3 linked regions of the Cricetulus griseus genome follow. The protein of the gene in region 3 purifies or fractionates together with the protein of the main gene of each other region. This does not show direct contact. Links are inferred from orthologs where the notes say so. Each region holds a gene or a part of one and is shown on either strand. Other genes may lie near its edges.

Region 1 (4,285 bases), on a different chromosome or scaffold from region 3:
ACCATCTATGCCTCCTTGCTCCTATTGAGATGTTTTTGGAGACCCACGGACCATTCCTAATCGGCTACTGTTGCAGTACTACCAGGTGTTGGCCGTAGAGCTGGAGGCACAAGACTACCAAACATGCCCAGTGATGCTGTGGTGACGGGAAAGGACCAGGCGCTTTACGCCCTAGGGTGTTGATTTGGATTCACCAAGAACGGCATTTTGCCAGGTTCAGGAGGCACCTTGATGGTTCCACAGAGCCTGGACAGTGAAGTGAAACAGCCAGCTACTCCAGGACATGGCTAGCACCCCAGCTTTCCTAGGTCCCCCAAAGATGAACGATGCCCCCCAGGTCAGCAGGAAGTAGTCTTGAAAACACAATGGTCTCATCCCCACCTCACCTGCTACCCCTTTCTAATGACTCATCTTTTTATAATAAGAGGGAGGAATATTAGTATTTAGGCATCTATCCTTGGCCTGTTCTGACAGGATACGCCCTCAGCTGCTGTCAGCTCCCACCCTTCTTTCTTTCTTTCCCTCCCTCTCTCTCTGCTGGTGCTCCTGTCTCCCCCTCCCCTATTTATGATCTCTTTCCCTAATAAAAAGCCCTTCTCTGCTTGAACCCTGTCTCATGCCATCTTTCTTGAAGGCTGCTTTTCTTAAATTACAACAATGGGTGCACACAAACAAAATGCATTTCATTTCAAAACAACTTTTCAAAATTCAATTGTGATTACAGGTAATTCTTTTTACCTTAACAGGCCTGGAAACACAGTTTTCTTTACATCTGTCCATGTCACCTGAAGAGAGAAACAAGAGCCTTTCATTGACAGGAAGCCACGTACTGCTGTGCTCCGCAGTCACTGCCTCTGACAGACAGGCCTCTGTGACCTGCAACCTCACACTTCCCACTGACAATCCTGCACCCAGCTCCTCACATCCTCTCATTCTCTTCCCTCCTGGGCTTGTTCTTTCTGCTCTAAAACATGATGCCCAGCATATACAGCCTGCTTGGGTTACCCATTTGCTGCACAGCTACCCCAGGCCATGGTCCCATCTCCCATAACCCTTGAACAACAAAGCTCACCTACTCTTTTCCCAAGCCATTCCCATTGGGCCTTTTGAATCCCACGGTATTGCCAGTCTCTCAGCTTCCCCTACGGTGGCAAACCCAGCACTAACTTGATTCCTGGGGAACAGGTTTCAGCCAATCACATTTGCCCATTTCCCAGTTTATCTATTACCTTGCAAGCTGTCACTTCCTACCCTCCTGGCTTGGCCTCATTTTTTCCCCTAATCCCAGTCCTTCGCCTTCTCATCTACATCAGATGACCTTCACAGATCCCATTCAGCCAAGATTTACAACTCCATGTAAGAAAAGTTCTCCTGACACAGCAGGAATCAGCCTTGGGCTTCCCTTTTCAGATACGGGTTGCAGTCAGGACAAACACCTGCTTGCAGTCAGGACAAACACCTGCGTGTTATTGAAAAGCCCCTACTGCAAAGATGGGGGAGGCTAGGCAGGAGATGGAGGCATTAAGTGAAGGACTGGGGCTGTACCCACCTCACCTGTAGGAAGCCTGTAGGAAACGGAGCCCTGGGACCAGATGCCAGCTTGGCTAAATGACCTGCATTTTAGCTTTCCCATGATTAGCTATACCAGGATCCTATCCCTAAGATATTTCTATTTCCTACATTTGCAGTGGAGCCAGGATTTTGTTTGTTTGGTTTGAGATGGGGTACCTCTGTGTAGCCCTCCTAGGTAGTCTGGAACTCAGAAGTCCTTCTACCTGCTCCCAAGTGATGGGATTAAAGGAATTTGGGACCATATCAGTCTTGTATTTGTTTTTGAGACAGTGTTTCATGTAGCCCAGGCTGGCTTTGAACATGCTATAATGGAGGATCACTTTGAACTTCTGATCTTCCTGCCTCCACTTCCCCAATGGGAATTACAAACATGGTCACCGTGCCCAGTGTATGCAGTGCTAGGATTTGAATCCAGGGCGTGGTACACAAGAACTACATTCCCAGATAGGCCTCACTTTTGGGAAGGGCTCTCACATTGTATCGGAAGCTAGCTTCAAACTCAAGGCTACCCTCCTGCCTCAGACTGCTGATGTGAGCAACCACGCTGGGTGTGGGGATGGGGAGATGACTTATTTTTGTTTTTTTTTGTTGAGTCAGGGTCACAGTTCAGGCTGGCTTCCGATCTGCCATGTAACTTGTGATCCGCCTGCCTCCACCTCCTCACCATCGGAATTAAAGGCGGGGGCTACCATGATGGTTTAGGCAGTGCTGGGGGCCGAGCCCGGGGCTTCCGGAATATTCTACAAGCTGAGCTTCCGCGGGTCTACACCGACACCGACTGCTCAAAAGGCTGCGGTGAGGGGGCAGCACGACCCCGGGCGTCTCTACAAGGGGACCCCCGCCTGGTCCCCACTGAGCCGCAGTTGCTTCGTCCATACCACCGCCATCGGTTTGCAAATCACCCGGTATGGCCGGTGGTCCGGGTCCCATTCCCACCAGAACCTAAACCCAAGGAGGGACGAGGCCACCTGGATCTCCGCTGCACCGATGCGAGCCCCGAGAGACAGCCCGCCACCCCCGGGCCCCTCTCCGCCCCGCGTCGCTCTGCAGCGCCCAGGCTCTCCCTGGCCCGCCGGGTCCCCTTCCTACCCCGGGGCAGGATCGCGTCTCCAGCGAAGACTCCAAGCGATTCCAGGAGCTCAGCCGTTACAATTCAAAGGTTCTCCTTTGAAACAGGAGTTAAACCCTCTCCTCCGGAAGCTGATTGGCTGGAGGCGAAGCGGCGCCGTCCTGTGATTGGCCCGCCGTGAACGCGACGACGGGAAGCTCGTTCCGGGCCGTAGCCGGGGCGCAGGCGCACTGAGCCGTCAGCGCCCGGAAGTGGTGCGCCAACGGCCTGTCCGATCTGTGGCCGTTCTGTCGTTCGCCGTGCTCCCCAGGATCGGGCGTTTGCCGGTCACACAGCAGCCCTTCGGGTTCAGGGTTGCCGCGAAGGTGATCAGCTCGGAGGAGGTGAGTGAGCGTCTCGAACGTGCCAGTGAGTAAGATGGCGAGAAGGGCAGGCTGGCCGAGTGAGCGGGAGGGTGCTCGGCGCTCGGCTGCCTGCCCTTGGCGCGTGCGCAGTGGGCGTGCGCTCGGAGCGATCGATCGGGCACGATTCGCGCCTCCATCTTTCCAGAAGAGAGCGGGAGACCGGGACCCTGATCCGGGGGTACGGAACGGGCTCGGGTGGCAGGCGCAGGGAGACGGGCTGGTGCGGGCGCCGGGGGCTGGCGTGGAGAGGGCCCGGAGCCAGCGGAGAGGGTGGCGGGAGGCCGGACGCCCCGGAGCCGAGCGGCCCGGCCTGCACCCCGAGCCAGCGAGCGAGCGAGCGAGCCTCGGGCCTGGGTCCCGGCGGCTCCCTGCTTTCCCCTCCGCCCGAGCGGGGTGGGCCCCCTGCAGCCCCGGGCCGGGCTCCTCCCGCCCGCCCGTGCTTCCTCCCGGGGACTCGGGTGAAGGCTCGGCCGCCGCCCCCCCCACCCCCCTTTACACCTCGAGACCCAGCCCCGGGCGTCCCTGGCGGGAGCGGAGGCTGCGCGGACCGGCCCTCACCCTTGGGGGCCGGCTGTAGCCTGACCGGGTGCCCTGGAAACTTTCTGGAACTCGTGTCACTCTCTGTCGAGTCCCAGTGTCTCATGCAAGGGTTAGGCTTGTACACGCTTATTTCTAACGTGAAGTGCACGAGTCTCTGGATGCCTGCGTGTCGAGATTAATGCCGATCGGGTGCTCGGGGTCGTCGTACCCGGCGGTAGCAAGAGCTCGATGAGTGGTAACTGTTGAGGTCTCCCGACAGTGCCGTGCTGTGTGTGGCCTGGAGGGTCCTGCTGCTGCTGCTGCTGCTGCTGCTGCTGCTGCTGTTGTTACTGAGCCTAGGGCGTCTGGCAGGCTTAGCAAACACTGTAACCCCTGTCTGTAACCCCCAGTCCTCCCCTCCCGCTGTTCCCAGATTCCGATAGCCAAACTCTAACCGCACACGTACTGGTAATTATCAGATTATTTGCCCAAGTTGGTAACTGAAGCCGGCGTCTTCAGTTGCGTTTCATGTTCATGGACTGGAGAGCTTAAATCCTTCCAAGTAAAACTGAGAGGAGCATAATCTGTTGAGATGTTTGCATTTCTTATTTGTTTTGGTGGTATCATTTTAGGTTTGGTTGTGACAGGGTCTCACTATGCAGCCCTGGCCGGCCTCCTGTGTTGTAGACCAGACTGGTCTCAAAATCACAGGGATCTGCCT
Region 2 (3,974 bases), on a different chromosome or scaffold from region 3:
ATTGTCTAGAGGAAGGGAGCTGGGCTGGATTCACTGACTCAGAACGGATGAGGCTGATCTCCAAGTCTGCTCAGTCTCATAGAAGCCAATGGCTGGGATAAGCCCTCAGAAGAATGCAGGTGACAACACTGAATACCAAGCGCTAGAGATTCCCCAGCTCTGGCCTGCAGTAATAGAGGACTCCTCAAGAACCGCAGAGGCCACTGCTATCTGCCACAGGCACAAGCACCATGATGGAGCTTCTGCCTACCATGAACCTTTCTGCTGATCTGATTCTCCCATCAGCACTCATCAGTGTTTCCAAAGCTTTACTGAAAGTCAGCCAGGGATTTTATTAGACCCAGGTCCAGAACTGAGATTTCCACATCCTAACAAACCCTCAGAGGTATTGATGGTTTGGGTTAGTGCATGCTTTTAGTAAGCAGCAAGGAGCTGGAGGAAGAAGTGTAGACACATTTGGTCCCTTCCCTGGACCATAAGTCCAAGCTACAGGAATGCTATAGATTGATAAATAAGGAAAAGGGGCTTCATGTGGGATCCAGAGGGAAAGGTCAACTGGATGAAATGCCTCAGAAAATCCTGTTGAGACCCAATAGCTCCTGAGTCCATTCCCAACTTACATGATACACCCAATGGACCACACATCCACCTCAAAACTGTGTCCCTTCTTGCTCAGCACCTCGGGAGCTATGTAGTTAGGAGTGCCACATAAGGTCTTCTTTCGTTCACCTTCATATTCCACTTTGGTTGCCAGCCCAAAGTCCCCTGGGACAGAGGGAAGAAGAGAGGTGATTAGCTGCTAGGCCATCTTGTGGCTGCAGACAACTGCCTCAGGACTGACCATAGAGAGCCAGTGCCTCAAGACTCCAGTCTCTGTTCCCGAACCTTCCCACTGCCCTTTACACTCCTCTTTAGATAGCAGGGCTAGGGAAGTAAGATGGCTCAGTAGGTACAGGTGCTTGCCGCTAAGACTAACAACTTGAGTTGACCCTGGAACCCACAATGGAAGAACAGAACTGACTCCAGAAAGTTACCTTCTATCTCGAACCCCACATATATGAAATTTAAAATACATAGGATAGCAGAATTGGATGCACTAGGGAATCAAGTAAATATTCTTTGTGACTGTGACAAGTTTAAGAAAAGTGACAGGAGTATAGGGACTGAGGCAAATCAGAGTCTCAAGGGAAAAGGTGCTTTTCAGCTCAGTAAAGGGACAGCAAAACACTGGCCTGTGGGACACTTACTTTCCATTTCTGGACAAGAAGGCTTTCTGGAGGGCAGCACCTCCATTTCCCACCCACCTTCCACTTCTCTGGCTCCCATTCTCCCAGAGTTCCCCTCCTTGCCACCTCTTGTACTGGCACCAGACACCCGCAGGCCCAGCACCTCACCTATTTTCACCTCCAGATCCTCGTTCAGGAAGAGGTTGCCTAGCTTGAGGTCCCTGTGAATGACCTGATTTCGGTGCAGATACTGGCAGCCCAGGACTATCTGACGTAGATAGTAGCGTGCCTCGGGCTCGGTCAGCGCTTTCCTCCTCTTGTGCAGTTCCAGGAGAGACTGAGGAAGAGGGAAGAAGGTAGTTAAGCCCAAGGAAAAGGGTGGCCAGCTGGATGTGGCCAAGATTAAACCCTCGGGAGTAAAGTATAGACGGAAGTTTCCTATCCCGACCAGCCGATTCCAAATAACTACTCTGAGGCTTATATTAATTATAAATGCTCGGCCTATAGTACAGGCTTAGCTAACTCTTCCACTTATTAACCCATAATTCTTATGTCTTGGCAGGCTCCTAATGGTTCTGTCCATACACTGGTCAGGCCATTATCATTCACAGGACCCCTCTCCTGTTAACGAGTACCCTTACCCAGCGTCTTCTCTCAACCCCTTATTTAGGGGCTTCCTCCCAGCAGGAGACCCTCTCCTTTTCCTGAAAGCTGAGGTCTGACTCCAGACAGCCTCTCCTCCCTCCCCCACTCCAGACCCTGCCCCACTCCACTCCGGAAGTTCTAGGTCCGCGGCAGCCGTAGCTTGGGACCCTTGTTAATCACTTTAAACACCCATTTCCTGCACCTACTGGCAGTCTTGCGTGCAGGAGCCACCTTCCCTAATAATAGCAACAGGTCCCGGGTTCCGCTTGCCCTCAACCCCCGGCCTCAGCAGCTCGGAATGCCAAACACCCTCACCAGGAGCCCCTTCATAATTGCTTGAAACCCAAGCACTCCTCTAGGCCACTCCAAGGCGTCGATGCCTCTTTGCCAGCAAGTTCCCGGTGTGGTCGCCCCAACACCACAGCAGAAACACTCACCCTCCTGCGACAGAGCTCCAAAACCACAAACACAAAGTCGCTGTCCTCAAAAAAGCCGTGGAAGCCTACGACGTGTTGGTGTGCGAGGCTGCGGTGGATAGAAATCTCCATAGACATCTTTTCCTTTTGGTGGGGCTTGAGAAGTAAAGACTTCGGCACGATCTTGCCTGCGAACACCTCCTTTGTGTCTGCATCCGAGATCTCGAAGCATTTGGCAAATCCTCCTTTACCCAGAAAGCGGCCCCGCACATACTGGCGCCGGCTGCGTGGGTCCACTAAGACCTCAGGAATCTCTTTCGACAGCGGGGCGGTCACTGGGGCACCGGTAGCTGCATCTCCAGGAACCCCAGCTTTCCCGAGATCGGCTGGTGCTCGAGCCAGCTTTTTGGCCGCTGCATTCATGCTCCTAAATTTGCTACGCGAACCTGGCCGGGCCGGTGCAGAGATCTTGCCCTGCTCCGCTCCTCCCCGAATTCAAACGCAGCGCTGGGAACGTTACAAGGACCTGCGCGTTGTTGATTGGCCGCGGGGATTTAAAATACAAACCCGCCCAGCGCGCGGCACCATGGGAGTGCTCTACGGCGCAGCCGCTTTTAAACCCCCGATCTTGTGAGGAGAAACTTGATGGGCTGGGACTTAAGGATTAAATGCACGTGGGATACCCTGGGAAACTAGGAGCGGATGGAATACGCGGAAATACCCAGGGGACAGAATTCGGTCCGGCTTTCTGCTCCTCGGCCAGAGAATGCTCCTGTGGTTCATGCCCCTCCTCCAGAGGCTTCTCCAGTTAGGACCTAACTAACACCTTCCTCCACTCCTCCTGGCCTTCTAGATCTGAAACTCCAGGCCTAGAGGTAGCTTGGCAGTGCACCGCCTTCGCCCTCGACTGCCGTCTCCCTGGCTAGTCTATATAAACCCAAACCTGAACAAACCCAGCATGTCTGGCAGGCAAAAGGAAGCTCTGTGGCAACCACTCCCGGAGCCCGAATTGAAAGGAGCTCTAGACTTCTCCAGTAAAACCCAGGGGTCAGCAGTATCTGCAACACCCAGGAACTCCTTAAGAAGGAGCGTGGGTTCAAGATTGCAAGTTAGCCTAAGGCCAGCCTCAGCTACCAGGCAACATTCCTTCCCCCCTACCCTCGAAGGAAAGAAACCGCCCAGGTCTGACCTGCAGGTCAAACAAGACTGTCAGGTGATTCCTACACAAGGTGATCCTAGAACTCGGGAGGCAGAGGCAGGCAGATCTCTGTGAGTTTGAGATCAGCCTAGTCTACAAGAGATAGTTCCAGGACAGTCTCCAAAGCCACAGAGAAACCCTGTCTCGAAAAACCCAAAAAAGAAAAGAAAAAAAGAAAAGCATCAGCTCTCTCCCCCCTCTCGCTGCGTTTGAATTCGGGGAGGAGAGGAGCAGAGCAAGATCTCTGCACCGGCCCGGCCAGGTTCGCGGAGCAAATTTAGGAGCATGAATGCAAGGTTACCTGGCTTGTCCTAAGTTGCTCCAAATAGAGAAAACTAGTTTTTTTAGTCAGAGGGAGGGATGGCTGGTTGGAGAGTGCTAGCAAAGTAGCAGGGCCAAATCTGCCCAGCAGGGGTGTTTGTTGGCCTTCATTTAAAAAAAAAAAAAAAAAAATTTACAACACTTAAAAGGAATGGCCACACAGTGCAG
Region 3 (3,500 bases):
CTGTGGTTAAATGAGTCCAGCACTGAAGCAGCTGCCAGCTCAGCACTCAGTGCTGACTTGGGGACATACCCAGTGGCTGCACCAACCTTGGTACTGGCCATCTGGGTAGCTTGAGGTCACAGGGAATTCAAAGTCAAAAGGAGTTAGCCTGTGGGTCCCTCAAAGAAGACAAATAACTATGCTGCCCACCTGGAGATGAAGAACCCTGTCTGAAGGCCACTGCCTTAGAGGCAAGTTAAATGCAGACGGCTGCCAGCAGCATGCAAAGCCAAATGCCAAAGCAGTTACTTGACACATGCTCAGCGTGGAAGGGAGGTGGAAGGACAGACCATGAAGAAATATATGCATATATATATATATCCCTATTAGACAGTGGTCAGTCAGCTATGGTTCACTGCTCTGCCCCATGCATCTCCAGGCTCCCCTGTCCTTTCCACCAATACCCCTACTTCCTTGCGTCTGTGCTGCATGGATCTGCACACCCGGACTGATGCCCATCACACACACACAGGAAAGCTAACAACACAGGATGAGTTCTGCCTACCTTACAATCCTACATTTGCTGAGCCCTAAAGTATAAACCAATACTGATCAGTTAAACACAGGAAACTCCAAGGTACCTGACACAGCTCTCCAGAGATGAGAAGAGGAAGTTAATAGGAAAGCTTCCTCTACGTTAACTTCCCAGCCATGCTCCTCAGAATGCAGACCACACGGGATAAGGACCACCTGAGCACAGCAGTGGACACTAACGACCACATGAGACAAAGCAACACTGTAGAAGGGAAGGTGGGACACAGGGCAATAGGACAAGGAACCAGAACACAAAGCTCTTTGTTTCTAGAATGTAAAAAGCACTTTACAACTTTCTAAGAAGCATGAATCACCAATAACTTGTGATGCTTGAAAACAGAACAGGAAATCTTCTCAATGTCTGTACTTGTTTGACATACTGCTGAAGTTCAGCTTTTTTAACAAGCCTGACACAAATCTGATCAATTAAGCTTTTTTATCTGACTTCCTTTGGGAGACCCTGAAAGACCTAAGTGGAGTCTTCCATGCTAATGAATTCTCTGGAAAGATGGTATCTGTTCATTTCTGTCTATAAAAACAAAACAAGGAAGCAATGCCATTTGACTTGAAAGTTACCGGTATCATCCTGGCATCAAGGAATGATTGTCTCCTCTCCCCACCAAAAACGTCCCGAAGCCCACTGGCTTCCCCCGAAAGATCAGCCTTGCAGAAGTACCACTTCTCATCAAGAGTGTAACAGCCCAGCTGGCCTGCACAGTCCAGAGGGGAGCACAAGGCTGCAGCAGACACACCCCTGGCAGTCTCTTTCATCAGCTGCTATGGATCCCCATGCCCACCTGCCTGCCTGTGTTCTCCCTTATGAGACTTCAGCCCAATGAGTGCAAAGAAGGGAATGGCAGCATTAGTGTGGAGAAGTTATTGTGGGTGTGCAGACATCACAGACAAGTTGTTGCAAATGCTCACCACGTTTGATCAACACGGTCAGTGTCCCTGAAAGGAGGGGAGAAAGAACTCAGAGGAAAAGCCTTTTGGTCTAGGGATGCAGGGTGGGGGAGACCCATGGTCCTAAGAGTGTTATCTGTCTACAAAGAAGTTTTTCCATCACTTTCAATCCAGGCTCACTTCTTCATGTGGCCACTACACGATTCTGATAAACTTCCTATCCTAAGAACATTAAACATCTACCAGACAGTTGCCACCCTTGCCAGAGCAAAGTAGCCTTAGTAACTCACTGCTCAACCTAGGAGAAAGAAGTTGGGAGCAGCAAGGATTGGAGACTGCCCTCAGCTGTGTCTACTATTCCCTAGATACAGCTGCTCAGCAGTAGCATTGGGATCAGGGAGCAGAAAGAAGTAGGAAAACTAGGCTCCCTGCCCACATCTAGAAAGCTGTTTTTGCTCAAAGTAGCCATGATCAATTGTATGTTGGAAACAAGAAATGATGATCTGCACGGTAGTTGTTACCTTGCCAATCTGGGAAACGAAACAAAGTGTGTCCGAGTTTCAAAATTTAATAGTGATCATTGAATTGGAACAGAGTTCCCAAATGCAGTTCTAGAAGGACCAATTTCAGAGGCACAGAAATGTGACCTCAAGGGCAGCTCAACAGAACACTTGCTGGTAAGATGTCAAAGTTCAGACTCCATAACCCATCCCACCCTAAAAGTCACCCCAATGGCACCTGCAGTGGTGCTTCCTGCTGGCCAGCCAGAAGGCACTGTCACAGGCATAACAGTGGGCAGCCAAGTGGTCAGGTAGCCAACGGGTCATCTGTAAAACACATGGGACCAGGTTAGTGACAGACATGGGCCAGTCATCTGAAGTCAACAGAGTCACACCAGGGGGAGCATGAGTCACAAGGACTACATGGGCTCCAGTGGTATCAGTGCAGCAGACCTGCTGACAACAGTTCAAGGAAGGTGTCCAAATTATTTGCCTGGAGGGGACTCTCATTTTCCCTGAGGCAACGTGGTAGCAGTGGCCCCCTGGGCTGCCATAAGAGCTGGCAGAGGCAATGGAGAGAGAGGGCCAGCTCACTGAGTGTCCCTGGCTTAGAATTGATGGATATGGGTTCCCAGACACTGAGATACAGAGGCTCAATTCTAATGTGACTTTCTTCCTTGGTGAGGGGCATGGGGCAGGGACTGGAGTGGAGAAGAACTGTAGGACACCTGCATGGATGGCACGCAGAGCAGGGGCTGAGCCTGTACCTCTGTGTCCTGTTTATCCACCTGCTCCCAGCTGGCTTCAGAGAAAATCTCTGTGCTGCAGCGAGACAAACAGTTCTGATCCAGATTGCTTTCCGAGTCGGGGATTGAAGTCTGTTGGTAAACAAACACAGCTGAACAGAATGGACCTGTCTCCTCCCAAAGGAAGAACAGAGCACAGGGACCTATGAGTGCTAAGGTGCCAAATGTGCAGTCACACCAGCCATCCAGACTTGGGCTGACCAGGTGCAAAGAAGGGCTGAGCTCAGAAGGCCATATGGATTTTGTCAAGTGACACTGAGTGGAAAGATGGGCCTTAGGGAAGCAAGTGAAGTGACCGAGGAGAAGTTCCTATGTCAGCTATTCTGGTGGGCCTCGAGATCCAGTCCAGCACTTAATGAAAACAGTGATTTGGGTGTGCCCTCTTTTATCTGAACTCTTTGGGACACTGAGATACCATTATTAATTAGTATGAAGAAAAAGCTGAAAGTTCCTTTGGTTGTAAGGTCATTGGATCTGGGATGATTACTCCAGAACTTGCCTTATATTTGTAATCTCTTACCCATCAAAGAAGAAAGCCCCTCTGGGAACCCAAGAATCCTGGCACCCTCATTTCTAGCCACCAAGCCTCATCAGTGCTAAGCCCTTGGCAATGCTTAAAAAAATAAAAGTATCAATCTCTTCTCTCCATTTCTCCTGCCAGCACCTGCCACAGAGTGAATACAAACACTTGTTCAAAAAGAGCAAACTCTCAAAGCTC

Evidence for each region.
Region 1: the proteins of Mtmr3 (region 3) and Aurka purify together in Homo sapiens (affinity purification with mass spectrometry; 3 studies listed by BioGRID and IntAct, counting the BioPlex papers as one, with this or other methods). This does not show direct contact. The link is inferred for Cricetulus griseus from reciprocal best matches to the Homo sapiens genes MTMR3 and AURKA.
Region 2: the proteins of Mtmr3 (region 3) and Plk1 purify together in Homo sapiens (affinity purification with mass spectrometry; 4 studies listed by BioGRID and IntAct, with this or other methods). This does not show direct contact. The link is inferred for Cricetulus griseus from reciprocal best matches to the Homo sapiens genes MTMR3 and PLK1.

Annotation. Positions count from the first base shown.
Region 1 is NC_048599.1:6,970,856-6,975,140, reverse strand, and holds the start of Aurka (aurora kinase A), read right to left. Parts: upstream 2,801-4,285; 5' UTR 2,662-2,800; intron 786-2,661; 5' UTR 781-785; coding exon 739-780; intron 1-738. UniProt on the Homo sapiens protein: Mitotic serine/threonine kinase that contributes to the regulation of cell cycle progression.
Region 2 is NC_048596.1:78,505,948-78,509,921, forward strand, and holds the start of Plk1 (serine/threonine-protein kinase PLK1), read right to left. Parts: upstream 2,801-3,974; 5' UTR 2,711-2,800; coding exon 2,309-2,710; intron 1,564-2,308; coding exon 1,395-1,563; intron 766-1,394; coding exon 621-765; intron 1-620. UniProt on the Homo sapiens protein: Serine/threonine-protein kinase that performs several important functions throughout M phase of the cell cycle, including the regulation of centrosome maturation and spindle assembly, the removal of cohesins from chromosome arms, the inactivation of anaphase-promoting complex/cyclosome (APC/C) inhibitors, and the regulation of mitotic exit and cytokinesis.
Region 3 is NW_023276807.1:100,405,347-100,408,846, reverse strand, and holds part of Mtmr3 (myotubularin-related protein 3), read right to left. Parts: intron 2,855-3,500; coding exon 2,744-2,854; intron 2,304-2,743; coding exon 2,215-2,303; intron 1,525-2,214; coding exon 1,498-1,524; intron 749-1,497; coding exon of another isoform or gene 592-748; exon of another isoform or gene 1-591. UniProt on the Homo sapiens protein: Lipid phosphatase that specifically dephosphorylates the D-3 position of phosphatidylinositol 3-phosphate and phosphatidylinositol 3,5-bisphosphate, generating phosphatidylinositol and phosphatidylinositol 5-phosphate.